Linked DNA regions of Ovis aries. The protein of the gene in region 4 purifies or fractionates together with the protein of the main gene of each other region. This does not show direct contact. Links are inferred from orthologs where the notes say so. Each region holds a gene or a part of one and is shown on either strand. Other genes may lie near its edges. The genes, in order: IFT43, WDR19, SIRT1, TULP3, KBTBD7 and IFT140.

Region 1 (3,259 bases), on a different chromosome or scaffold from region 4:
TGAAAGTGGGAAGGGTCCTTTCCAGCTGCTCTTGGAATGATTCTGTATCTCTTTAAAAAAAAAAAAAAAAAAGTTGATTTAGTCCATAGAAGCAAAAAGGAAGGGTGTCTTCACTATTCTCGCCTCTCTGGAATTTTTAATATTTGTAGTTGGTTTGGGACTTCCAGGACTGTCTCTCCTTGCTTCACCTTTTTTTTTTTCTCTGTCCCATCTCTCTTTATCTCTGTGCAGACTAGTTAAAACAAAGGCACCCCCTCTACCAGTCAGTGATGCTCCCTGAGAGAAGGCAGTCCCTCCTTAGGGTGCTCGAGAAGAGGGCTGGTTTCTCTGCTGTGAGCAAGTTGCCGCTGTTAAGTGACGTGCTGTCTCTCTGCTTCTTCCTTCGCGTGAGCGTGTTAGATTGACGAAAGGAATGGCCTCGTGTCTCCTCCTGTGTCTGTATGTCCGTCTCATACAGAGAATTCAGAAAAGAAGAATCTCCAGGAGACAGCAAGAGCAGCGTCATCTTTCGAGTCAGCACTGTTTAGGATATTAGACCTGGCCAATGGAGACGCGAGCTTCCCTCATAGCTCAGCTAGTGAAGAATCCACCTGCAATGCAGGAGACCCCAGTTTGATTCCTAGGTCAGGAAGATCCCCTGGAGAAGGAAACGGCTACCCACTCCAGTATTCTGGCCTGGAGAATTCCATGGACTGTATAGTCCATGGGGTTGCAAAGAGTCGGACACAACTGAGTGACCTTCACTTTCAGTGGAGCTGCTGGTCCTGTACGCTGCCGGGAAGCCAGGTCACATCATTAGGTGTAAAGTGACCTTGCAGATACAGACTCAGGGCTGTGATGGTTGTGAAGACTAGGACGATCTGATGCACGCATGGGCCTTGGTCGTGAGGAAGTGCGCTCATGAAGACGTCTGCCTGGTGACAGGGCGTGTTCCCCGTTCCTCTGTCTCTGACCACGCCAGGCTCACTCAGCTCCTCTTTTCCTTCCTCTCCTCTAAGTGCTTCCCCCCAGGGCTGTCTAGGACTTTCTTCTCATTTCCTTACATTTCTCCTTGGAGAGCTTCTCCCATGGCTCCTAACATAGACCAAATGTCAAGACCACCCAAGAAATCTTATGGGAAAATTCAGCCTCCCAGGCCCCACCCAGGAAACTTTAATTCCTGCAGGTTCTGGGGTAGTAAAGCCTGAGATTCGGAAATTGTTGAAGTTCCACCTTCGATTCTCATGCACACCTCAAGTTCAGTTCCATCACCCTGAATCGGGGGGGGGGGGGAGGCGGTGCTGGAGGCTGGAGACCATCTGAGTGTCCGTTCTACCCAAAGCCTGTAGCCCTTACGGTGGCCAGGGCGTTGGAGCTGCTAAGTCGTCAGTGGGGAAGTAGGCTAGACCCCCACTCACGCTGCTGATAGTCTGGCCTACCCTCTGGTTGCAGATATCCCTGTTATTCCGGACCTGGAGGAGGTACAGGAGGAAGACTTCGTCTTGCAGGTGGCAGCCCCTCCCAGGTGTGTTATATTCGCCTGAAGTTGGAGGGAGGTTGGGGAACGTGCCAGGCGCCATCAGCAGTGATGCTGCCCCCTTGGGGAGATCCACACGTCTCTAGTGTGGGCCCCATCCCAGGGTTCCCATTTTATTGCACATTTTTTCCCCATTCTGGTCCTTCCCAGCTACCCAGGAGGCTCTGGGCATGGCGGCCTGGCAGCATGGCTGGCGTCGGTTCCTGCCCACATTCTGTCTTTCCCACAGCATCCAGGTCAACCGAGTGATGACCTACCGTGACCTGGACAATGACCTCATGAAGTACTCAGCCTTTCAGACCTTGGTGAGTGGACGGACAGCTGCTACACAGAGGGGCAGGCGCCCACCGACATCTGCAGAAATTTCTCAGTTTCTCCCAGGCCTTGCAGCCCCTCCTCCGTGAGGCTCTGAGGCTGCCAGGCGACAAGCCCTTTGCCAGAGACATCCTCCTCGGGTATTAGAGCTTCCCTGGACCCAGCCTATCCCAGTGTTCTCAGGGCCAGTCTCCCCCGTGCCCCCGCCTGCCCTCTTGGCATCGGTAGACGTGCTGCATCATGCCTGCCCCTCCCAGGTGTTCACTTTGCCCCAAGGAGTGCCCAGCCCGTAGGACATCGTGGTGCCCACCCCAGCTCTCAGTGGCCATGTGGTCCACCCACAAGTTTGCTGTTTCACAAGGTGTTCCTGCAGGCCTGGGGTTGGAAAGTTCTACCCCACTCAACTTGGTCCCCAGAGGTCATTGTCCAAAGGCCCCACAGTACACGTACCCCCTCCTGCCCCGACATTCACAGGATGGAGAGATTGACCTGAAGCTCCTCACCAAAGTCCTGGCGCCAGAGCATGAGGTTCGAGAGGTACGTGGCAGCGGCAGGTCCTGCCCCTCGGCCGTGAGCAGCGGGCCCCGAGGCTGACCTTGGTGGGAGGCTGGCTGTGCCCGAGGGGAGGGCCTCCCCCGTCTCACCCCAGGATGCCTCTCTCGGCAGGACGATGTCAGCTGGGACTGGGACCATCTGTACACAGAGGTGTCCTCCGAGCTCCTCAACGAATGGGACGCACTGCAGACAGACAAGGAAGGCCCCGTGGGGCGGCCCGCACACACCTGAGCCGTGGAGTTGCTTTCCCTGCACGCACACACCTCCGCTCTGGACTTGAAGAAAAGGCCATAAACCTAAAGAAGCTCTCAAGAGGCTCGGGATTTTTATATATGGACTATTTTGTAATAAAAATATTTTCTCTTGTAAGAAATTGCATCGTTCTGTGGCAAGAAATTGCTTTTGCTCTGTAACCCTCTCTTCCATTCGTTTGCACCGCCCTCTGGAAAAATGCATCAGGGGTGAAGAAAGGCATCTTTTGAGCCAGTGATGGGAACTCGCCCCATCGCTGAAGAGCAGGAGGGAAAGCTAGATGAGGAAGGGGAAGGCTCTGCACTCTGTTCACAGAGGCCACGGCAGCTCCAGGGAGCATCTCCTGCTGGGGGCCTGGGGAGGGCCTGGCTGGACGCCTTTCTCCCTTTGGATGGTCAGTGACATTGGTGACATTTCACTGTCTCCTTTGTGCTTTCAGGGCCACTTAGCTGAGGGATTGTCGCCTGGCAGCCTCAGAACATGTGATAAGGTGACCCCATTGCCCATGTCAGGGTTCGGTGGCTCTTCTGATAGCATGCCCCTCCCTCCTACTTCCTGCAACCCAGGCCTGGAGCTCCCAAAGCACGTGTTTCCCTTCTGTCCCCCCAGGTTCCCAGGGCC
Region 2 (3,941 bases), on a different chromosome or scaffold from region 4:
ATGGAAGCAACCTAGATGTCCATCAGCAGATGAATGGATAGGAAAGCTGTGGTACATATACACAATGGAGTATTACTCAGCCATTAAAAAGAATACATTTGAATCAGTTCTAATGAGGTGGATGAAACTGGAGCCTATTATACAGAGTGAAGTAAGCCAGAAAGAAAAACACCAATATACTATACTAACACATATATATGGAATTTAGAAAGATGGTAATGATAACCCTGCATGCGAGACAGCAAAAGAGATACAGATGCACAGAAGTCTTTTGGACTCTGTGAGAGAGGGCGAGGGTGGGATGATTTGGGAGAATGGCACTGAAACATGTATATTATCATATGTGAAATGAATCACCAGTCCAGGTTCTATGCATGATACAGGATGCTCAGGGTTGGTGCACTGGGATGACCCAGAGGGATGGTATGGGGAGGGAGGGGGGGGGAGGGGGGTTCAGGATGGGGAACACGTGTACCCCTGTGGTGGATTCATGTCAATGTATGGCAAAACCAATACAGTACTGTAAAGCAATTAGCCTCCAATTAAAATTAATAAATTTATATTAAAAAAAACAAAGACAATACAGGAAAGAAGGCAAACTATCTTTACTGATAATTTTTCATACTGAGTCCATGTTGAAATGATAATGTTTTGGATATACTGGGTAAAACAAAATATATTATGAAAGGTAACCTTACCTGTTTCTTTTTTTTTTTTTTAATTTTAAAATCTTTAATTCTTACATGCGTTCCCAAACATGAACCCCCTCCCACCTCCCTCCCCATAACATCTCTCTAGGTCATGTGGCTACTAAATATTTTAAAGTACATTGGCTTACATTATATTTATATTAAACAGTGTTGATACAAAACATCTAGGACCATAAGAGTTTGAATGAATGAATTTACATTTTAACATTAGGTTAAATTAAAAATTAAACAATGATGCCTATATTGAGGCAAGTGAAGTTTAGATACAATTGCAGGTGGTGTGACAGTCTCAATGGTAACACAAAACTCTTCCAATGGTCTAAATTTTATACCAATCACCGGCAATTACTACGTTAAAAAGATGATCAAATCCACCTCTACTGAAAACAGAGGTGCCTATAATCACAGGTGCATCCAAGTTGTGTGGAGCAAGGACACCCTTTAAAAAAAAAAAGCATAAAAGCATTTTACTTTTGCGATTTTATGACCACATTGCCCTGGAACCCCTATATGCAAGTGAGGGTGCCCTAAATTTGAATGTCACTAGCTTCTTGGTAGATCTCCTCTGGTTGTGATTTTACATACTATTTTTCTTCGAAGGAGGTCAACAGGTGCTCTATACACATACAACACCCCATAAAAGGGTGCTAGCTTCACAACCAGAAAACGAACCCTTAGACTTTGCTTTTTTTTTTCTTTCGATCTTTTTTTTTTCAATCTTTATTTTTTAATACAATTGTTTTTTGGCCACCCACATGGCTTGTGGGATCCTAGTTCCCTAACCAGGTAACTAACCTGGGCCCTTGACAGTGAAAGAAAGGAATATCACCAGGGAACTCCAGATTTTGCTTTTCACTTATTAGCTGTAGGGCTTAAAGCAGGTCTATTAAATGGCCTCAGGCACAGAATTCTCAACTGTAAACCAGGAATAACAATATCTCCTTACACTGATGGTTTAGTCCTTAAGTCGTGTAGGACTTTTGCGACCCCATGGACAGAGGATCCTGGCAGGCTACAGTCCATGGGATTCTCCAGGCAAGAATACTGGAGTGGGCTGCCATTTCCTTCTCCACGGGATCTTCCCAACCCAGGAATCGAATGCAGGTATCCCGCACTGTAGGCATTTTCTTTACCAACTGAGCTACAAGTATTTCGTAAATGGCGAAGAGCTTTAGAAATGTGAATTAAGATTACAGGTCAACTCCAATTTCCACTATAGCCACGAAAATGTACAAAACAATGAAAAAAATTAAGCTTTCCATTTCTATGCCAGATCAGGGCCTGTGTGTGGTGGGGGGGGGGGCGGTGGGGAGGTGGGGTGTTGGGGAGTAGGGGGCACTAGGAGCGGGGCGGGGGTGCTGTTTGGTAAGGCGATGGGTGAATGAGCTGTAGCCAGTGACCCGGGAATGGGGTTCATAAGAAGCCCAATCCTAAAAACGGTGCATGCAAAGGATGACGCTCTAGAGATTGAGACCCGTGCATGCAGATTTCCCCGTGAATAATATACACCGTCAGCAGATGATCTGTAAATTGCGCCAGTCACAGCCAATACAATTTGAGATTCTTTCGGAGCTTTTCACTCATTTTAAGGAGCTGAAGAGCTGCGAGGCTTGCCAGGTGTTTAGCTGCAAGAAATGAGGCAGCTCCTGACACTCGAACGAGCCAACTTCACAAGGATCCTCCAAACGCTTTTTTCCCCAAACTCGTTCTGCCCGCCGTGTGAATTGGGGCGAATTCGGAGTCTCTTCAGATCCAGTCTGCTCATTTCCAGCAGTGGAGGGGTGGCCAAAACGCACCAACTCCGTCCGCGGTCCCAGAAATGAGAGGCCTCCCTCCCCGCCGTCTCTTCAATTTTCCTTCCTTTGCCCTTATTTCTTCAACTTCGCCTCTGCTCTCCCGGGTCACCCCGCTCCCTTCCCCATTTCTCAAGCACTCGGGAGAAGGAAGGAAGGTCACAAGCCTCTATCCTCAAAGTGACTCTCGGAGAGTTTAAGGGACTGGCCAGTGGTCGCATCTTCCCGCACCCCCGGGTTTGTAAGTTATTTACCTTCATCTCAAAAGATCCAGCAGCCGCGCGATCTAACAAGTGCGCAAGCGCACCCGGTCTTCATCAAGAAAGCCACCGCGTTCCCGTCACCCAGGAGACCGCGCGAGCAATAACCAATCAGCGGGCGCCAGCTGAAGGGCGGTGCCCCCAAACAACCACGGAGGGAGTGGGCGGGAGGCGGGGACTTGAGTCACGTGATGCCAGCGAAGCAAGGCCCTGAGTAGTTGAACGTCGTGAGGCGTTGCTGAGCTTTGGCTTTCTACTTGGGCCCTGATTGGATGACACCGGAGAGTTCTGTGAGATGTGGAAGCCGCCGGCGTAAACTTAGGCCCTGACTACAAAGAAATCAGTGGTGGCGAGTAGAGTCGCTGAGAACTTCAAGGAGCTGAGTGTTGTATAAGAAGAGGCGGGAGTTGATTTCTGGGGCAGTACTCTTACACAGTTCACGCAAAGAGCTCACACTGCAGCTGTTCAAAGGATATTCAATTTGGAGGCTGATTTTGGCTGGGAATATGTTTGTGTCTTCAGATATTTAAATTTGGCTGCAAGACCCACACATTTAATCGGAGATGTCTTAAATAGGTGATTGGGTGAAGGAGAAAAAGGTTAGACAAGTAGAAATTCGGAAATTGTTTTTGTATTGATAATAATTAAAACAGAGTGAATGGGACTTATTAGATTTAGGGAATGTTAAGAGGGAGAAACTTAATTTTAGGGGCTGAGAATTAAACTGACAGAAGGCCAGTTAACAGGAGAAAAGCTTACGAATTTGTATGTATTATGTTTAGCCGATATGGGAGAATTAAATTAGTTAAAAAGAGAAAAGAAACATGAAGTCTCACATCAATGTATTAATTAGGGTGCTATAGTTCTCTCTAGTTTTTGTCCCTGTGTATACGAGTTTTACTTTGTGTTTATAATTATGATATATGTGTATTTGACACAGTTATTTAGGTCAAATAATAAAGCACATTTTTTAGAGTGGTTAGTACTGTTAGGTAGCAAGTTAGGCATGTGCAACAAGGAGTGGCCTAGCCAAAAAGGATGCAAGCTGATCTCTAAAACCCCTCCCAGACACACTCAGGAAAATTCACAGATGCTATAGAAATAACCACAGAGACTTTTCTAACTCCTGCACATGTGCCCTAGGCACACAGTGCGTACAACCTAACCACAGGGGCTTC
Region 3 (4,209 bases), on a different chromosome or scaffold from region 4:
AAAACCTAAAAAAATATAACTTAAATACAACAGATGTACAAAAGGGCTCTGCAAATCAATAAAGATCTTACCCATCCTGAAAGCCCACACTATTTATCATTAAAAACACAAAGAAAATGAAATCTATCCTTAACTACTATCTTTAAAATGTTCCCAGTAATAATCTTCAATTTAATCTTAACCTGTCTTTGCAATGATGCATATAATGCTAATGTTCTAAGCTTTAATAATTCTTTGCCCTAAATTTCTTAATCAGTTCCTAGCTTAAGAAAACCAAAAATACAGTCAATATAAACACTAAGAGAAACTAATCATCACGATCTTGAAATAGTCAAGGCATTTCTGGAAAAATGAGAGCACATTAAGAAAAAGAATATTTTGAGATGGTCATGTTACTACTTCGATATAAAAATCTCATAGTATTCTCTACTTCAAAATACTTTCCCATTCCATCAAAATACTTAGTATTTACTGAGGGCAAATTTTTCCAGGCACCGACTAAACAGTATACAAATCAGTCAGAAATCCCTGGCCCCCATGGGACTCTATATTCTAATGCAGGAAACCAGCAATAAAAGTTATACACAGAAATTGTCAAGCAGTAAGTGTTAAGAAGAAAAATTATAGAAGGATATGAAGGAGGAAGCAAGATACTTTGGAGGATGACCATTCCATATGGAGGGTACAAGTGGAAAGGACCGTTTAAGTGTGAGGACCTGGTTTTTGAGAAATTACACAGGCCAGCTTCCATGGGCCCATGCTGTTTAACAAACAAAAACAGAACAAAGTACTAGACTTCCCCTAAAAACCAAGCTGACATTAAATCTCAGTAAACGCCTAAGAACCTCATCACAAGACAATAAGGGAAGAAAGAAATATAGTTTTCCTCGACATAAAAAGAAAATATCAGAGAAAAGATAGCTCTTAACCTGTGAAACCATACCTATCCGAGGTCTTGGAGTCCAGTCACTAGAACTCGCATGCGAGGCTCTATCATCTTCGTCACTTTCGCACGAATGGAAACCGTTGGTGATGATTTCATCACCAAACAGAAGGTCATCTGCAAAAGAAACCAAAGGTAACTCAAGGTTGTGGAAACAATCTGCATCTAAAATTATAAAGCTCTGTAATTATTGTGATGCAACAATTTCCAATGAATAAAGCACTCATACTGCCCGCGTAAAAAATGTCTACTGGATCAACTCACACCGTTCACAGGAACAGTATATCCTCTTTAGGCATTCTGCTCAGAAGCTAAGTTTCATCAAAATCTAGAAATAAGTCTACTTAATCAAAACACAAAAAGTAGCAACCTTGACTGAATTTATCGATCACAAATAGTGGTTCATAAAACTTACCAAATAAAAAGTTACCCAAAAAGTCATGCAAACACAGCTATGGCAACTTGCACTCTCTTATATAACGCAAAATCTACAAAGGTACCTTTGCATTATTCGTTTCCCTTATTAAACTATGTTTCTTGAAAACAGTGTCGTTTTTCTAATCCAGTCCCTAATGCACACGTTATCTTTACATATAGTCAAATGGTCCACTGGTTGGATTTATTAGTACAAATAATGGAGAGGCATATCTATCTAGATAAAAACTATGAAAACACTGAAGGATGACGAGACACACAACTATCACATCTACTTTAGCATGTCAGAAAAATGTCAATTCGTGTTTCAGGGTTACATATACACACACGAAGACAGTTACTGTAAAAACCACTATAAGAACACGATTAGAGGAAAAACACTATTCACGGCAAAGTAGTCTAAAAAACTATTACTCTCCTATGCCCACTATTAATTGCACCACAGAAGGGTAATGTCTTTATAAACACCTATGCTCTTTAAAATTTAAAACAAGTTTGAAAATAGAGGCCCTCCTAAAAACCCCAACAAATTTCGCAGGCAATGGCAAAAGCTGGCGCAAGGGACAGTCAAAAAGTTGCAGGTTGAAGTGTGCGGGACGGGGAGAGGCGGAGAAGCGAACAGCATTTAACAAAAGCAATACACTAAAGGAGTAGGAGGGGAGAGAAACTTATTTTAAAACCGACAGCGAGGGTAGCCCGCCCCGCGGCTGCGCAAAACGCGAGGCCGCTGGGGCGGGCCGCGGGGAGGAAGGTGGGGGTGGCACAGAGCAAGGGAGGGAGCGAGTCCGCGGGCCGCTCCCGCAGCCCAGCCCTCAGCCCCGCAGGCGCGCGGCTGAAGGCCCAGGTCGGCAGGGGGAAGGCGCAGAGCCAGGCCCGAGCCCCCAACCCGCCCGAGACTCCACCACCCGACAGGAGGGGCCCCGGGAGGAGGAGGGGGGATGCGCAGTCCCGGCCGCCCGCGCCCTGCGCACCTCGGTACCCAATAGCCGCCGCCGCCGCCTCTTCCTCCTCCTCGCCCTCGTCGTCGTCGTCGTAGAAGTCGTCGGCCGGTGGCGCCTCCCGGGATAGGCCCTGTAAGCCCGGCCCATTGTCTCCTTCTCCGGCCGCCGCCGCCGCCGCCTGGGCCTCCAGCCACAGCGCCGCCGCCGCTGCCGGGCAGCCGCCGGCCGCCGCCGGCAGTTCCCGCTCGGGGGCCGTCCCGCCGGGCTCGCCCGGGCCCCGCCCGAGGCCGGGGCCGTCTCTTCGCGGCCTCTTGCGGAGCGGCTCCCCAGCAGGCGGCGACGGGGCCTCCCTCTCAGCCGCCACTACCGAGGGGGAGCCGCCGGGCTGAAGGGCGAGCGCCGCCTCGTCCGCCATCTTTCAACCGCCTCTCTGGCCCTCCTCCCTCGCCTCTTCTGCTCCCGCTCGACTCGCGGCACTGGCGCCCCCGCGGCTCCGGCTGCGGGAGATTTAAACCCCGTCACGTGACGCGCCGCTCCTCGCCCCCGCCCTCCCGCCGCTCCCGCCACCCACGCGGGCCGGACCACAACACCGCGGGTCACGTGGCAGGCGGAGGCGGCGTGGGCCTGGAGGAAACCCCGCCTTGGGTGCTGCGGCCCCACCCCTTGGAGGCCGGCGCGTCTCGCAGCCAAACTTGTCTTTCAGTCTTCAAATCAGTGCCCGCGGGTTGGTTCAAGTTTTGCTCTGCGCCGCGAGTTTCCACTTCTGCGTGAAGAGCACGCCTTGCTCGACTGCCTTTGTCTTTTCTTGACTTATGCTAAGGGTTAATACTAAGTTCCTGAGCGGCGTTAAGGCTAAGCTTCCCGAAATGTGCTAAGTAATCGGTCAGTTTGTTAACGGACAAGTGAAGTGAAGTTCGCTCAGCCCTGTCCACCTCTCTGTGACCCCGTGGACTATACGGTCCATGGAATTCTCTAGGCCAGAATACTGGAGTGAGTAGTCTTTCCCTTCTCCAGGTGATCTTCCCAACCCAGGGGTCGAACCTAGGTCTCCCGCACTGCAGGCGGATTATTTACCAGCTGAGTTACAAGAGAAATAGAGGCAAAAGCACGGTTCACTTGTCAACCTCCACACCCCATTCGCACAGCTTCTCTTTGGCTCCCTTTTTCTCTTTGCTTTTGTCTTTAGATTATTGCTATTTCTTCCTCTCTCCATCCCTTGTAGGGCGGTGTAGATTGTCCCTCAAAGGCATGTGTGCGTCCTGCAAAGACCTTTGAGGCGGAGGGATGATCAGCCTACCTGCTTCGTGGTCCCAGCTTGGCTCCAAATGTGTGATTTCCCTCGTATAGGTTTCATAAAATGAGTATATCGGCTCAAGTGGAGTGGTATGAAGATAACTGGGCTGAACATGACTTGGCCGCTACAAACATGTAGATTTGGGTAAGAATTTGAGATCCTTCTAGCGTGAGAAGTTTAGCTTTTCTGTAAAATGGTTAATAAGTATTTTGTAGGGTTTTGATGAGAATTAAAGATAGCCAGATGTAAAGTGAAGGGTGTACATAGTAGCCAAAAATATTAATTCCTTGCCTACTTGAAGTCCCTCTTCTGTTTTTTCCTGAAATTTTAGGACTCTCACTCCACATCTAGCCTTAACTGAGAACCCGTATGATACATGGCAGACCCAGAGCCTAACTTCGTAGGCATCTGTTTCTGAAACAAAGCACTTCTACCCCCTTAAGGGGTAGTGAGTTTATAGTTTATCAGTCCGTAAGCTTTAAGTGGGTCCTGTCTATACAGTGACAATTACTGTTTGAACTTAACGCAACTTAAGGTGTTTCATCCTTTTAAAAAAACAGTTCTAATTTTGAAAATGTAACTGGAAGGTCCCATCT
Region 4 (3,406 bases):
TCTACGGACTTTGTCTGCATCACGGTCTTATTTTTAGGGTCCTCTGATGATTAAATATGTATACCTACGGCTGATTCATGCTGATATATGGCAGAAACCAACGCAATATTATAAAGCGATTATCCTTCAATTAAAAATAAAGACATTAAAAACAAATACACTCTACTTACATTTCGTGGCTGAAAAGGAATCCGTTCATGATTCATATTCATCCCAGGGATGATCACAGACATTTTCCTCGGGCCTTTAAATCCAAGAACATTTGTCTCCTAGAAGAGAGGGAAATAAGCAGGAACTAGAAACAGAAAAGAAAAAGCGACAACATTCTTAACACAAGACTCTGCTGGGCACGCGCAACGTCCACAAGGTGGAGAGCACTAAAAACCATTCACTTACTTCACTGTAGTTAAACAAAGAGATGGGGAATCAAGACCAGGAAAATAATACTGTTTCCTCTTTTTAACCTACTTTGAACATTTGAATTTAAAGCAGATTCTATTATCTAGAAACCTTACTCTTCTTTAGCCTGACGTGAAATTTAAGACAATTTGAGCAAACTGCCCAGTTTTATCATCATCAATAAATATCTATTTCCCAACTAAGGACATGGCACTATATGATATACAGGGAGAATTACAGTTTAACTAAGGCCTATACTTGGAAGTAAAAAATTAAAATGCCTATCAAGCCAAGCAGATTATACATGAATAAGTACATTAAATATGTGGATGTGTATATATTTACATACATATATACATGCATATTAAAGTCATGCATAGTTAAAATATTTAATTGATTCTGAAGCTAAGAGAAAACATACCATAGGTTATAAAGGGTTAAGTCAAATGATTCTCAGTCACACAGATAAAATCTCATGGGAATCAAGTGATGAGATTAATTCCAACTGAAGAAAAGCTGAGACTCTAGGATCAAAGCAACAACTGAGTCGCATTAATTCCTTCTCGCTTCTCTGACTCTGCATGCCCTCTACACGGCGGGTCCAGGTTTGTGCGGAAATAGCAGTGAGCGGGAGTTTACAAAGTGGTCAGAGAAGGATCAGAAGCATGACGAGGGTAGCTCACAGGCTGCGAGAGGAATCGAGGAGAGCCGAGGGGAGCGTCAAGCATGTCCTGTGTGGGGAGAGGCCCCTCTGCAGACCCTGGTGGGCAGGCAGGAGGGGGCGGGCAGGTTTGGGGCGGAGGGAGGGGGCGGCCAGAGAGGAAGGCTGCGGCAGCTCGAGGGGCAGGGAGCGTGCTGCCAGGGGGGCCAGAGGGTGAGGCGGAAGGTCCGGGCTGGACTCTAGATTCGGTGGGGAGCAGCCTGAGAGGCCGCGGAGCGGAAGGACGTCGTCTGCTGGAGCAGGGCCGCTTGGCAGCAGCGACCCACAGCAAGCCAGCTTGGAGACGATGGAAGGAGGGACCAGCTCCCAAGTCACTGTCACCTCCAGCCAGTGTGTCAGCGGGAACGCAGTGAGCACTCACACCACCACGGCACAGGGGAGGGACAAGAGCAGAGGAGACAGGGCCTGCCGGAACAGTAAATACACTGGACTTGGCGGATCACAAGTAAACCTGAGCACACAGGGAAACAAGCATGGCGGGGCGGGAGGGGTGGCAGCCTGTGAGCCCGGGGCTGGTCAGGAGGCCGGCAAGATGGCACTCACGTAGCACACGGCGGCCAGCTCCTGACGCATGTAGGCCTTCTCCACCAGGCCCTGGGCCTTGGCCGGGCTCACACCGTGGTCATACACGGTGAACTTAGTCCCCATGAGGTTGGACCTAGAATCAAGAGGAAAGGTCACCACAGAGCTCTGTAACTTTCTCTCATTTTGAGTCACTCTCTCAAAGATTCATCCTTAAAACATGGAGAGGCCTTGGGCTTTCTATTAACTTATTTCTTTAGATGGCATCAAACCAGGTCACTGTAAAACCAGCGTGGACTTGCTTTGAGACTACAGGAATCAAGCCCCCACAAGAAGAGGACGTGACATGAGGCTGCCCCCACCTGAGCTTGCCAATATAGCTCTCCCCTTCTCGGGACAGGTCTGTGGGGTCCGTGGAGATGAGGTAGTTGGATGTCTTGCTCTTTTTCCGCTTCCTACCTGCAAGAAGAAATATCTAGAAAAGGAAAAAACATTTCAGTAAAAAATGCACTCAAGAGCTGCCAGGTGTGTATGTGTGTCCTACCTATTCAGTGAACAAATATCCAGCAGCTGCCTGTCCTATACCAAGCAGTCCCCCTCTGGGTCTTTTCTATTTTTAAACCGGTTTAATTTGCTTTAACTTTTCTTGTAGAAAAGCCACATGGTGGCTACAGCTGGAGTCCTCTGCACTGAGACTCCAGTGTGGGTCGTGCTCAGCGCATTCTCAGACACTCTCCCTTCAGAGCCTGGGGTGAGGCGGCCCAAGTCTTGGCGACGACATCAGAGATGATTTCAGCACAGCGCCCGGGGCGGCGTGCAGCCCAGCCACAGCACAGCGCTGTTCACGCTGGCCAGCTGGCAGCTTCCAGGCATAGGAGCAGAGGCTATGCTAGGGTCCCAGGGCGGGGGTGAGAGGCGCCAGCCAGGAGCCGAGGGGCCGGTCAGCCTGCAGGATGGAGTGGGGCCTGCTGATCCCACTCCCAGCGGCCTCACCACACAAGGACTGGAGAACCTGGCGAGAACCACGGCCTCACGGATGGCAGCAGTGACCTCCCTGAAGCCCCAAACACCCAGACCAGCCTCTATGCACTGGAACCCCAGTGGTGATGACGCCTGGCCCCTGGTGTGCAGGCTGGCACGTGTTAAACTCATGCATCATATTCAAAACCTAGTCCTGGAAGGGTACTCCCAGGAAGAAGTGAATCATCTCGGGTTCCCAGATGGACAGGCACAAGACGGGGCTTCCGCAGAGCCTGGATGAGGCACCCAGCTGAGCGAGGGGCCCCCACTCCCTGTCCCTGACCTTGCTGCTGTGTGCTCTATGGCCTTGGGCCCTAGGTGCCACGGTGGAAGCCCCTGTGGTCTCCTCTCCCAGGGCCCTGGGGCCTCCAGCCCTTTCGCAGCACCAGCACATCTGCCGTTTGGGGTTTTCTCAGAGAAGACCAATCTCTAGGTCTTACCACTTTTTCTAATCCTGATTATGCCTCTTAGAATTCACCACCAGAGTCTCCCAACTGCCTAATTTTTCTAAATTCACTAGCCTCAGCCTCCACATCATCATCTGTAACTTCACCCCTAAAACCTCCACTGACACTTTATTTATTTGCTTGCACCAGGTCTTAGTTGCGCCATGTGGGATCTAGTTCCCCGACCAGGGACCAAAGCCAGGCCCCCAGCATTAGGAGAGTAGAATCTTAGCCACTGGACCTCCAGGGAAGTCCCACTCCACTGATATTTTAAACAGGCTTCGTGCAGTTTCACGAG
Region 5 (4,082 bases), on a different chromosome or scaffold from region 4:
TTTCATTATTCAGAAGATAGAAATCTTCAAAACCCTGCCAACAATTTCTAGTCCAATTTTCTACACAAAAATGAAAAAGCTAACTTCCCCCCCACAACACTAAACAGAATTTAAAAATGAACAGAAGACTAAATTAGATAATCAAAATATAAACCGTGTAATTAATGAAAACAATTCACTAGTGCAACAAATTCTTGAACACAGAAAAAAAACCAGCAAGCATTCTAATCAATTACATGGTTCATTTTTTGGGGGGGGGGAGGCATATTTTAATCTCAACTTTCAGCACAGTAAATTATATAGCTGATTTCATGGACTGTTTACATTTTATAACATTACATTAGCAACTCAAACATTACCCTTTCTAAACCAAATATGCAATCCTAATCAAAGTTTTCTTTTTTCCCCAGAAAAAGGAAAGGACATCTTTTTAAGATATATTCATAGCAATAGAAACATCTTAGTATTTCAAAATATTTACAAAGAACCCTGCTGATCCTGTGCATTTCGCTGAGGGGCTACCTGTACCCAGACTTCATCATCAGAAAAAGAACTTGAACTTCCTGACTCAGAGTCCAGTTCACTGAACCCATCTAAGTCCCATTCAGTACTAGACTCACTCCGTGCATCATCTTCCTCAGTGATGAAACTCTGACCAGGTTCAAGGCAGGAAGGATAAACCCGAGCACAGAGACAAATAAAGCCAGAGTCAAACTGCAGAAGACCTAACATGGTCCCTATATTAATCCACTGGTCTTCCCTTGTATCATATTCATACACAGTTACCCGGTTTTTTTTCCACTGAGGGGTTGTAGAAGTGATGAGGAGCAACTTTTGGCCATGATTGACAATCTGGTAGTTGTGGGTCTCCGAGTCCAGGGGAATATTGCTAATACGCCTCCATTCTCCCCGGGCTGGGTTATACACCTTCATGACTGGGATGTCACAGATGCAGTAGATCTCATCATTGAAGACACAGGCTTCCTGAAAGTCACTCCGTTTAAGAGAAGCACAGTTCAGCCACATATTATGGCTAGGATCATAGCAGAGCATGCGCTTACTATTCACAGCATAAAGATAGTTCTGAACCACTATGAGTTCAAAGGAATAGAAGGAATGTGGTACAGGAGCCACTAAGGCCCACTGGTTCCTCTGAACACTGTAGCACTCCACTTCCTTTAACTTCACTCCAGTAATGGGGTCACGCCCACCCAGGATGTAGATGTAGCCATTGAGGTATGCCACGTCCATGCCCTCCCGGCAGAGCAGGCGGTCGGCAAGTTGCTGCCAACTATTCTGGGCTGGTTTATACACCCAGAGATCCTTCCTGGGCTGGGCAGCTAGATAGATGTCATGGTCTGGAGAGACACAGACAGCTGAAGAGGTGACAGTCTTAGTGTGAGCCAAACTGGTCAAAGGTGATGGCATTGTGTAAATGTCCCCCGAGTATGGATCATAGCACAGAAAGGGATCTCTGGGATGGCCAAAGAAGATGACCATCTCCTTGGCACACATACCCAGCCTCTGGGGTGGATTTTCTGCTATGGACACAACAGAGCTACTGCTGCTGCTCTCTGGCTTGGGCACCAGGGACTTGCACAACATGTCACCATATCGCATCTGCAGGGCCCCTTCAACAAGGTCCAGACAGTACTTCTTTACAATGGGCTTGGTCAGCAGCTCTTCCACGTAGCCCCGATCTTCGTCAGTGAAGTGGGTCCAGCGGACACACTTGAAGACTTCTGCAGCGCTGGGACCCCGCTCCTTGGGAGCCGCCTCCAACCACTGCACCGCCACGTGACACACGGTCCGCTCACTCTCGATGTCTAGACTGTCCAGGCGCAGGACAGCTAGCAGCTGGGCCAGGGTCAGATCTGCCAGCGACTCTTCCCGAATCGAACCCATTCGGCTGAGCTGCTTGAAGTTGTGGGCTATAAAGGACTGGGCCTGTGATCGCAGCTTGTGATGGTCGAAGGCGTCGGCGAACTTGAGGATGGCCGTGCAGTTGGCCAGGTCAAGGCGGCGGGCTAGGAAGGAGGCACAGGCTTCCCGCACGTACTCCAGCTGCAGCATGTCGGAGGCCGCGTAAAGGCGCTGCACGTTGGCCTCACTTAATGACACGCGACCGGTGTAGCAGTAATCGACCAGCACCTCGAAGGACTCGGCGTCCACGTCGTGCATGGTCACGTTCGTCTGATGGCTCTCGTACATGCCGCCGGTGAACATGCTCTTGAAGTAGGGACACGCGGCCGCCAGCACGTTACGGTTGCAGGAAAAAAGGCGGCCCGTGCCAGGCCCGCTGCCGGGGGTGACCACCTCGATGGTCACATCACAGAGCAGCCGCGCGTCGTAGAAAGACTTGAGCTGGGCCAGCAGGGCTGCAGAATGGCCCGTGTCCTTCAGCTCCTCCGGGCCCGTGAAAAAAGCCGAAACTGAGGGCTTGGAAATCCTCTTGGGACGCCTCCCGCCGCGGGGACTGGCGAGGCGGCGAGAGCGCGGAGCTTCTTCCCGGGACTGCATGGTGAAGAGGGCGGCGGGGAGAGAAGGACGAGAACCGGGCTCTGGCGCCTCCTCGCTCTCTTTTCGCTGACGCCGAGACCGCTGTGTCCCTGAAAAGACTGCCGCGCTGACTTAAGTCAGCCCCGCTCCGCGGTGCCGCCTCCCTTTATCGCGTAGACAGTGCCTGACTCACCCGGTTCCAGTTCCACGCCCTTTCTCCGCCTCAGCTCGCCCTCACAGGACCTACAAACTGGAACCAAGCGGTCCGCCACCGCCGCGCTGGCAATACCGGTAGGTGCCTAGGAGAACTACAGCTCCCAGGTTGCCTTTCGCGCCTCGAGGCATGCCGGGACCCCGCGGACTCTGCGGCTTAGGCCGCCTCACAGGAGCCGCTGTGCATGTTGGGATCAGTAGTTCCAGTAATATCGCGAGGCTTCTGGGGGTCTACTGCTTTAACTAACAGAATCAGCAAGCGTTTATTCCAGATTTGATGGTTTAGAGCTGTGGGTTTGAAGTCTAGAGTGGAAGTCCCGTTTTAATATTCACCAGTTGTGTAAATTTTTTGTCAGAACTTTTCCCTGTCTGGAAATTGGGCATAATAGTATTTCATAGGATTCTGGGAGAATGGAATGATCTAAATTTCATAGGACATAGGATGCTTCAATAAATACTTGTTGATTAGATTAATAATTGTTTACACTGTGACTAAAATGCAAATATTGAGTAACTGTTGGCTTTTCATTTAGAATTTATGAAAAATGAGGCATCCACTTATTCGAAACCATGAGCAATTTCTACAAAGAAAACTGTGTTTACTGTTGCTTCTTGTAAGGCTCGGAGAACCGCGCTCTGAAAGGAACATTCAGGGACAGCCTCTAGTGGACTGACAAAGTTGATTATCCAGCTGCGCAGTTTTATAATTCTCAGGGAATAGAGCATAAGGCAGACTTGCACGTAGCCATTCCAGATAAACATTAAAGCATTCAAGCATAAAATACAGTTCCCACCACCTAAGACATAACGTGACTTTGGCAAAACTCTAAAGGGAGTCTTATCGTGAAACAACAGTCCTTGCTCCCAGGAAACAGGTGGTCATAAGGAAGCCTTTGAACGCTTCAAGGCCGGGCGTACTGACCCTTCGTCATCCGTTTCCAGCCTCAGGCACTCGATGCACGCTCATAACCCTCCGTTATGCTCGTTCCAGCTCCCAACCTTCGTCATAAGTGGAGCAAATACATTTTCCATGTCTGCTCAAAGCCTTCCAGCTCCTCCTTATCTCCTCCCTTTTTCCTTAAGAGCAAGGACTGCTGCAGCCACAGTTACTCCTGTTTTTTGGACGGAGGTGACTCGGGCACATAACGTTCGGAATCCTACAAGAACAATAACAAACAATAAACAGATCAGCGCATAAGTAGCCATCGTATGGGGTACCCAATTTTTTGGATTTAGAAAGGAGGTACTAGTGGATAGTGCATTATAGAAGTCAGTGTTCTATAACACAGGGGGAATGCTGCTGAAGGTAGATGTGATTTGTTGCTTCAATTTTTCTATATCTAGACTGTTTGATTTTGAACCTAAAAGAT
Region 6 (3,500 bases), on a different chromosome or scaffold from region 4:
CCCTGGTTTCATAGGAGGTCATGTCACAAGAACCAGGGGTTTAGGAATCAGCTTATCTTTAGGGGCCACACAGCTCCATAACAGGAACTTTCTAGAAAATCCTACTTCACCAAGGAAAATGGATTTCCTTTCCCACCCCCTGCCCCACCCTCCCCCGAAATCTGCCTCTCGTGCTTTGGGTCCGCACCCTCCCATCCCCTCCCCTCACGTAGCACCCTCCTGTGATGTCCTCCGGAGAGCACACCCAAGGGGCTTCCTCACTCAGCTCCCTGCGTCCAGCCTCCCCCGTGCCCGACTGGCCTCCTCTCCCTCCATCTCCTCCTCCTCCTGAGGCTACGTTACCATCTCTTGGGGGACAACTCAGGCCTGCGGTCCAGCCTGCCAGTTCCACTGGACCGCCAAGGAATTCCCTAGATAAAACTTCAAAATTTAGAAAATTTAAAGCACACTATTACAAAACAAACAAGCGTGCTTCGTGTGTTTCTAATTGGTAGAAGGAAAACTGTAGGATTTCAAAATTATGATTTATTCGATGATAAGAAGGTCACAGATGTAGCAGGTATAACTGGAGATTGGTAGGAAGAGCCCAGTAGAAGTGCTGAGAACAGAGTTAATCTCTGAAAACACACACATTTATACTTTTAACCTGCTGCCTTTGAAAATTCTAGAAAACATGAGAATATAAGAGCACATATCTTATTAACTCTTATGGCAATGACATCGTCATATACCACAAAGTTTCCGGAAAACTCCACTGTTCACTTGTGAGAGAATGAGAGTTAACAAGGCAAACCACATCCTAGTATCATTCTGAAAATGACTTTGGCTTTGCAGACCTCAATAAGGTTCTTAGGGTCACCTAGCCACACTTTGAGAACCTTGAGTCAGCACGCTTCACCCACTGGCCCAGCACTTGCTTTTGTAAATAAAGTTTTATTGATAAGCTGGTTTGTGGGGTCTGTTAAATGTTTGCCTTGTGCTGTCATAGTTCAGCTGAGGCAAGATGGGTGTTTCTATGACAATTAAATAGACTGTTTCTTTAATAAGCAGCTTGTTATGTCCTCTACCTGATATCATTCCACTGATGAGGCAGAAATACTTGGTCGTCACCGTTCCCCGTAATAAGGGCTTTACTTTGTGTGTCGCAGGGCGAGTGCGTGCCAGACACCCATGTCGAGAGGTCGTTCCGGGTCACCTCCCTGAGCTGGCACCCGACGCGGCTGATCCTGGCTATTGGCTGGGAGTCTGGGGAAGTGGTCATGTTTAACAAGCAGGACAAGGAGCAGCACGCAGTCCCTGCCACGCACACGGCCGACGTCGCCATCCTCGCCTGGAGCCCCAACGGGAACTGCCTGGTGTCGGGAGACAGGGTGAGCAGCCGCGCGGCGGCCCCCTCGGGGTCGCAGGCTCGCCGTCTGTGCTCTCAGGGACACGGGAGGCCCTCAGGGACCAGGCTATTCGTGATGCATGGTTGCCGGGCTCTGCTGAGCTTGTCAGCTGTCACAAGCTGTGTTTTATGTTGGGAGCAAGATTTGAAAGTTTCATTCTGCCTTCTCACCCTGTGGCAGAAGTGTGCAATTTTGTAAATGAACATCTCTGGATAACTACAGTCACACAGATGGGGTGGTGCCTCAGGTACCCCGAACCCCGGTGTGCCCTCTGAGCACACTGCTTCGTTGCCCAAGAGTCCCTGGTCCCCATCGTCTGGCCTGGGGCCTCCTAAGCAGGTGGACGTGGAGAGATCGTTCGTAGTCATAAGGGAGGGGGTGCTTTCCGCTGGCATCTGGTGGGTGGAGGCCAGAGTCACTGCTCAGCATCTGCCAGCGCTCAGGACAGACCCCACCGCAGAGAATCACCAGCCAGAGACGTCTGTAGGGCCCGGGCTGAGAGGCCTGCTCTAGACCTGTTTGCCCCAAAAGGGACAGTAGAAAGTGTACGGTGTGTTTGTTTCTTTCGCATTTTCAAGGTAATACGTTTGCATGTTTCAGAGCTCAAAAGATGCTAAAAGGCACACACTGCAAACACTCTCCTCACCACCCCCACCCTGCCCCCGGTACCTGCGGCTCCTTCATGTCTCTCTGGGTTCCTACGGGAACACACAGGAGCACGCAGTGCGTTCTCTCCCCAGCTTCCAGTTTTGAAAAATCACCAACGTTAGAGGAAGGAGCACAAGGAGTACCCTTGTGCCCTCACTGTGAGTTCAATAGCTGTTAACATTTTGACACATCGGCTCTCTGGGCGTCTGTACACCCCCGCGTGTTGGGGAGTTTGTCGCAGCCGTCACACTTCACCCCTCGATGCGCTGGCTTCCGTCTCCTCGACACGTGACCACGTTGCTGCCGCACAGGAGGGCGAGGCCCGCACGCTCCCCACCGCGGCCGGTGTGGCGGCTCTCCCTGCCGTCCTGGTAGCCCGTCCTCAGCCGGGGCCGCCCAGCGTGCTCTGCCTCTGCCATCATTCCTCTTTTGTCTCCTTCCGCCGTAACTGGTCTCTGCTCTCTTCTTTCGTCTCTCTCTCTTTTGTTTGGTCTTTCCTGACATCGCCGTTTTGAGGGGTCCAGCTCGTAACTGTGTAGCAAGGCCCTTGGTTCAGATCTGTGTGGCTGTCTCCTGAGCACTGTGAGTGTCTTCACACAGGGGACACCGTCCCCTCCCTGCTTTCCTGGATCCTTGTCACGTGAGCGGCAGCACCCGGCACACACTGTTGCATCTCAGGCTTTCCAGCGGAAGCCGTGCCTTCCACTCTCCACGGCAGCGCACAGCAAGCCTCCTCACGCTCTTTAGACCTGCCCTTTTTGCCACGAACCTGTTATCGTTTGCCTTCGCAGCCCCTGTGGAATAGCAGTCTTCAGTTCTTCGCTGGACGGTGACATGACAGCTGGCCTCATGGTCTTGTCCTTTTGCACGTGCGAACTTTTAGAAAAAGTCCTGGAGGGCGGTGGGACCCAGGGCGTACCCTTGTGGTTTGATCGGTGTGCCCAGAGCTCCCTCCGTGGGGCTTGACTGGCTCACACCAACCCACGCGTGTGTCGTGACCAAGCTCAGGATCTTGTGGGAGAAGTGCTGCCTCAGTTGTGTTCCTTCGCGTGTGTTTCTCTTCCTCCTGAGGGTGAACGTTACCTAGAAAGCCATTTATACTTAATTTCTGCTCACACCACTTCTTCCTTGTTCTACTTGTTCTTTTTTTCCAGACGTTTCTTGGTTTTCTGTTCAATTCACACCTGGTGCCGTTGCACCACCCCAGGCTCCTTCTCCTGTGGGCTCCTACCCCTTCCCCCATGGGGATAAAAGGAGTCATGATCCTTGAACATCACCATTCGCATCTTGAAGAAAGGAGAAACAACTGATGTAGCGGATCACTTAAGCACGACCCGGAGCCCAGGTCACTGCTGACCGAGTTCTGGCGTCAGAGGATTTCAGGACAAAAACACCTGGTCCTTCTCTCAGAAAATCTGCAATTGTGTCCCAGTTTAATACTGGACTCCAACAGGAAGAGACGTA

The links.
Region 1: the proteins of TULP3 (region 4) and IFT43 purify together in Homo sapiens (affinity purification with mass spectrometry; 5 studies listed by BioGRID and IntAct, counting the BioPlex papers as one, with this or other methods). This does not show direct contact. The link is inferred for Ovis aries from reciprocal best matches to the Homo sapiens genes TULP3 and IFT43.
Region 2: the proteins of TULP3 (region 4) and WDR19 purify together in Homo sapiens (affinity purification with mass spectrometry; 5 studies listed by BioGRID and IntAct, counting the BioPlex papers as one, with this or other methods). This does not show direct contact. The link is inferred for Ovis aries from reciprocal best matches to the Homo sapiens genes TULP3 and WDR19.
Region 3: the proteins of TULP3 (region 4) and SIRT1 purify together in Homo sapiens (affinity purification with mass spectrometry; 5 studies listed by BioGRID and IntAct, counting the BioPlex papers as one, with this or other methods). This does not show direct contact. The link is inferred for Ovis aries from reciprocal best matches to the Homo sapiens genes TULP3 and SIRT1.
Region 5: the proteins of TULP3 (region 4) and KBTBD7 purify together in Homo sapiens (affinity purification with mass spectrometry; 3 studies listed by BioGRID and IntAct, counting the BioPlex papers as one, with this or other methods). This does not show direct contact. The link is inferred for Ovis aries from reciprocal best matches to the Homo sapiens genes TULP3 and KBTBD7.
Region 6: the proteins of TULP3 (region 4) and IFT140 purify together in Homo sapiens (affinity purification with mass spectrometry; 5 studies listed by BioGRID and IntAct, counting the BioPlex papers as one, with this or other methods). This does not show direct contact. The link is inferred for Ovis aries from reciprocal best matches to the Homo sapiens genes TULP3 and IFT140.

Annotation. Positions count from the first base shown.
Region 1 is NC_056060.1:85,547,911-85,551,169, forward strand, and holds the end of IFT43 (intraflagellar transport protein 43 homolog), read left to right. Parts: intron 1-1,431; coding exon 1,432-1,504; intron 1,505-1,745; coding exon 1,746-1,821; intron 1,822-2,204; coding exon of another isoform or gene 2,205-2,305; coding exon 2,306-2,368; intron 2,369-2,497; coding exon 2,498-2,617; 3' UTR 2,618-2,759; downstream 2,760-3,259. UniProt on the Homo sapiens protein: As a component of IFT complex A (IFT-A), a complex required for retrograde ciliary transport and entry into cilia of G protein-coupled receptors (GPCRs), it is involved in ciliogenesis.
Region 2 is NC_056059.1:59,081,808-59,085,748, reverse strand, and holds the start of WDR19 (WD repeat-containing protein 19), read right to left. Parts: upstream 2,801-3,941; 5' UTR 2,764-2,800; coding exon 2,758-2,763; intron 1-2,757. UniProt on the Homo sapiens protein: As component of the IFT complex A (IFT-A), a complex required for retrograde ciliary transport and entry into cilia of G protein-coupled receptors (GPCRs), it is involved in cilia function and/or assembly.
Region 3 is NC_056078.1:23,633,183-23,637,391, reverse strand, and holds the start of SIRT1 (NAD-dependent protein deacetylase sirtuin-1), read right to left. Parts: upstream 2,801-4,209; 5' UTR 2,735-2,800; coding exon 2,350-2,734; intron 1,061-2,349; coding exon 944-1,060; intron 1-943. UniProt on the Homo sapiens protein: NAD-dependent protein deacetylase that links transcriptional regulation directly to intracellular energetics and participates in the coordination of several separated cellular functions such as cell cycle, response to DNA damage, metabolism, apoptosis and autophagy.
Region 4 is NC_056056.1:212,688,177-212,691,582, forward strand, and holds part of TULP3 (tubby-related protein 3), read right to left. Parts: intron 2,118-3,406; coding exon 2,005-2,117; intron 1,779-2,004; coding exon 1,664-1,778; intron 270-1,663; coding exon 171-269; intron 1-170. UniProt on the Homo sapiens protein: Negative regulator of the Shh signaling transduction pathway: recruited to primary cilia via association with the IFT complex A (IFT-A) and is required for recruitment of G protein-coupled receptor GPR161 to cilia, a promoter of PKA-dependent basal repression machinery in Shh signaling.
Region 5 is NC_056063.1:11,789,708-11,793,789, forward strand, and holds the start of KBTBD7 (kelch repeat and BTB domain-containing protein 7), read right to left. Parts: upstream 2,801-4,082; 5' UTR 2,521-2,800; coding exon 478-2,520; 3' UTR 1-477. UniProt on the Homo sapiens protein: As part of the CUL3(KBTBD6/7) E3 ubiquitin ligase complex functions as a substrate adapter for the RAC1 guanine exchange factor (GEF) TIAM1, mediating its 'Lys-48' ubiquitination and proteasomal degradation.
Region 6 is NC_056077.1:1,755,934-1,759,433, reverse strand, and holds part of IFT140 (intraflagellar transport protein 140 homolog), read left to right. Parts: intron 1-1,148; coding exon 1,149-1,370; intron 1,371-3,500. UniProt on the Homo sapiens protein: Component of the IFT complex A (IFT-A), a complex required for retrograde ciliary transport and entry into cilia of G protein-coupled receptors (GPCRs).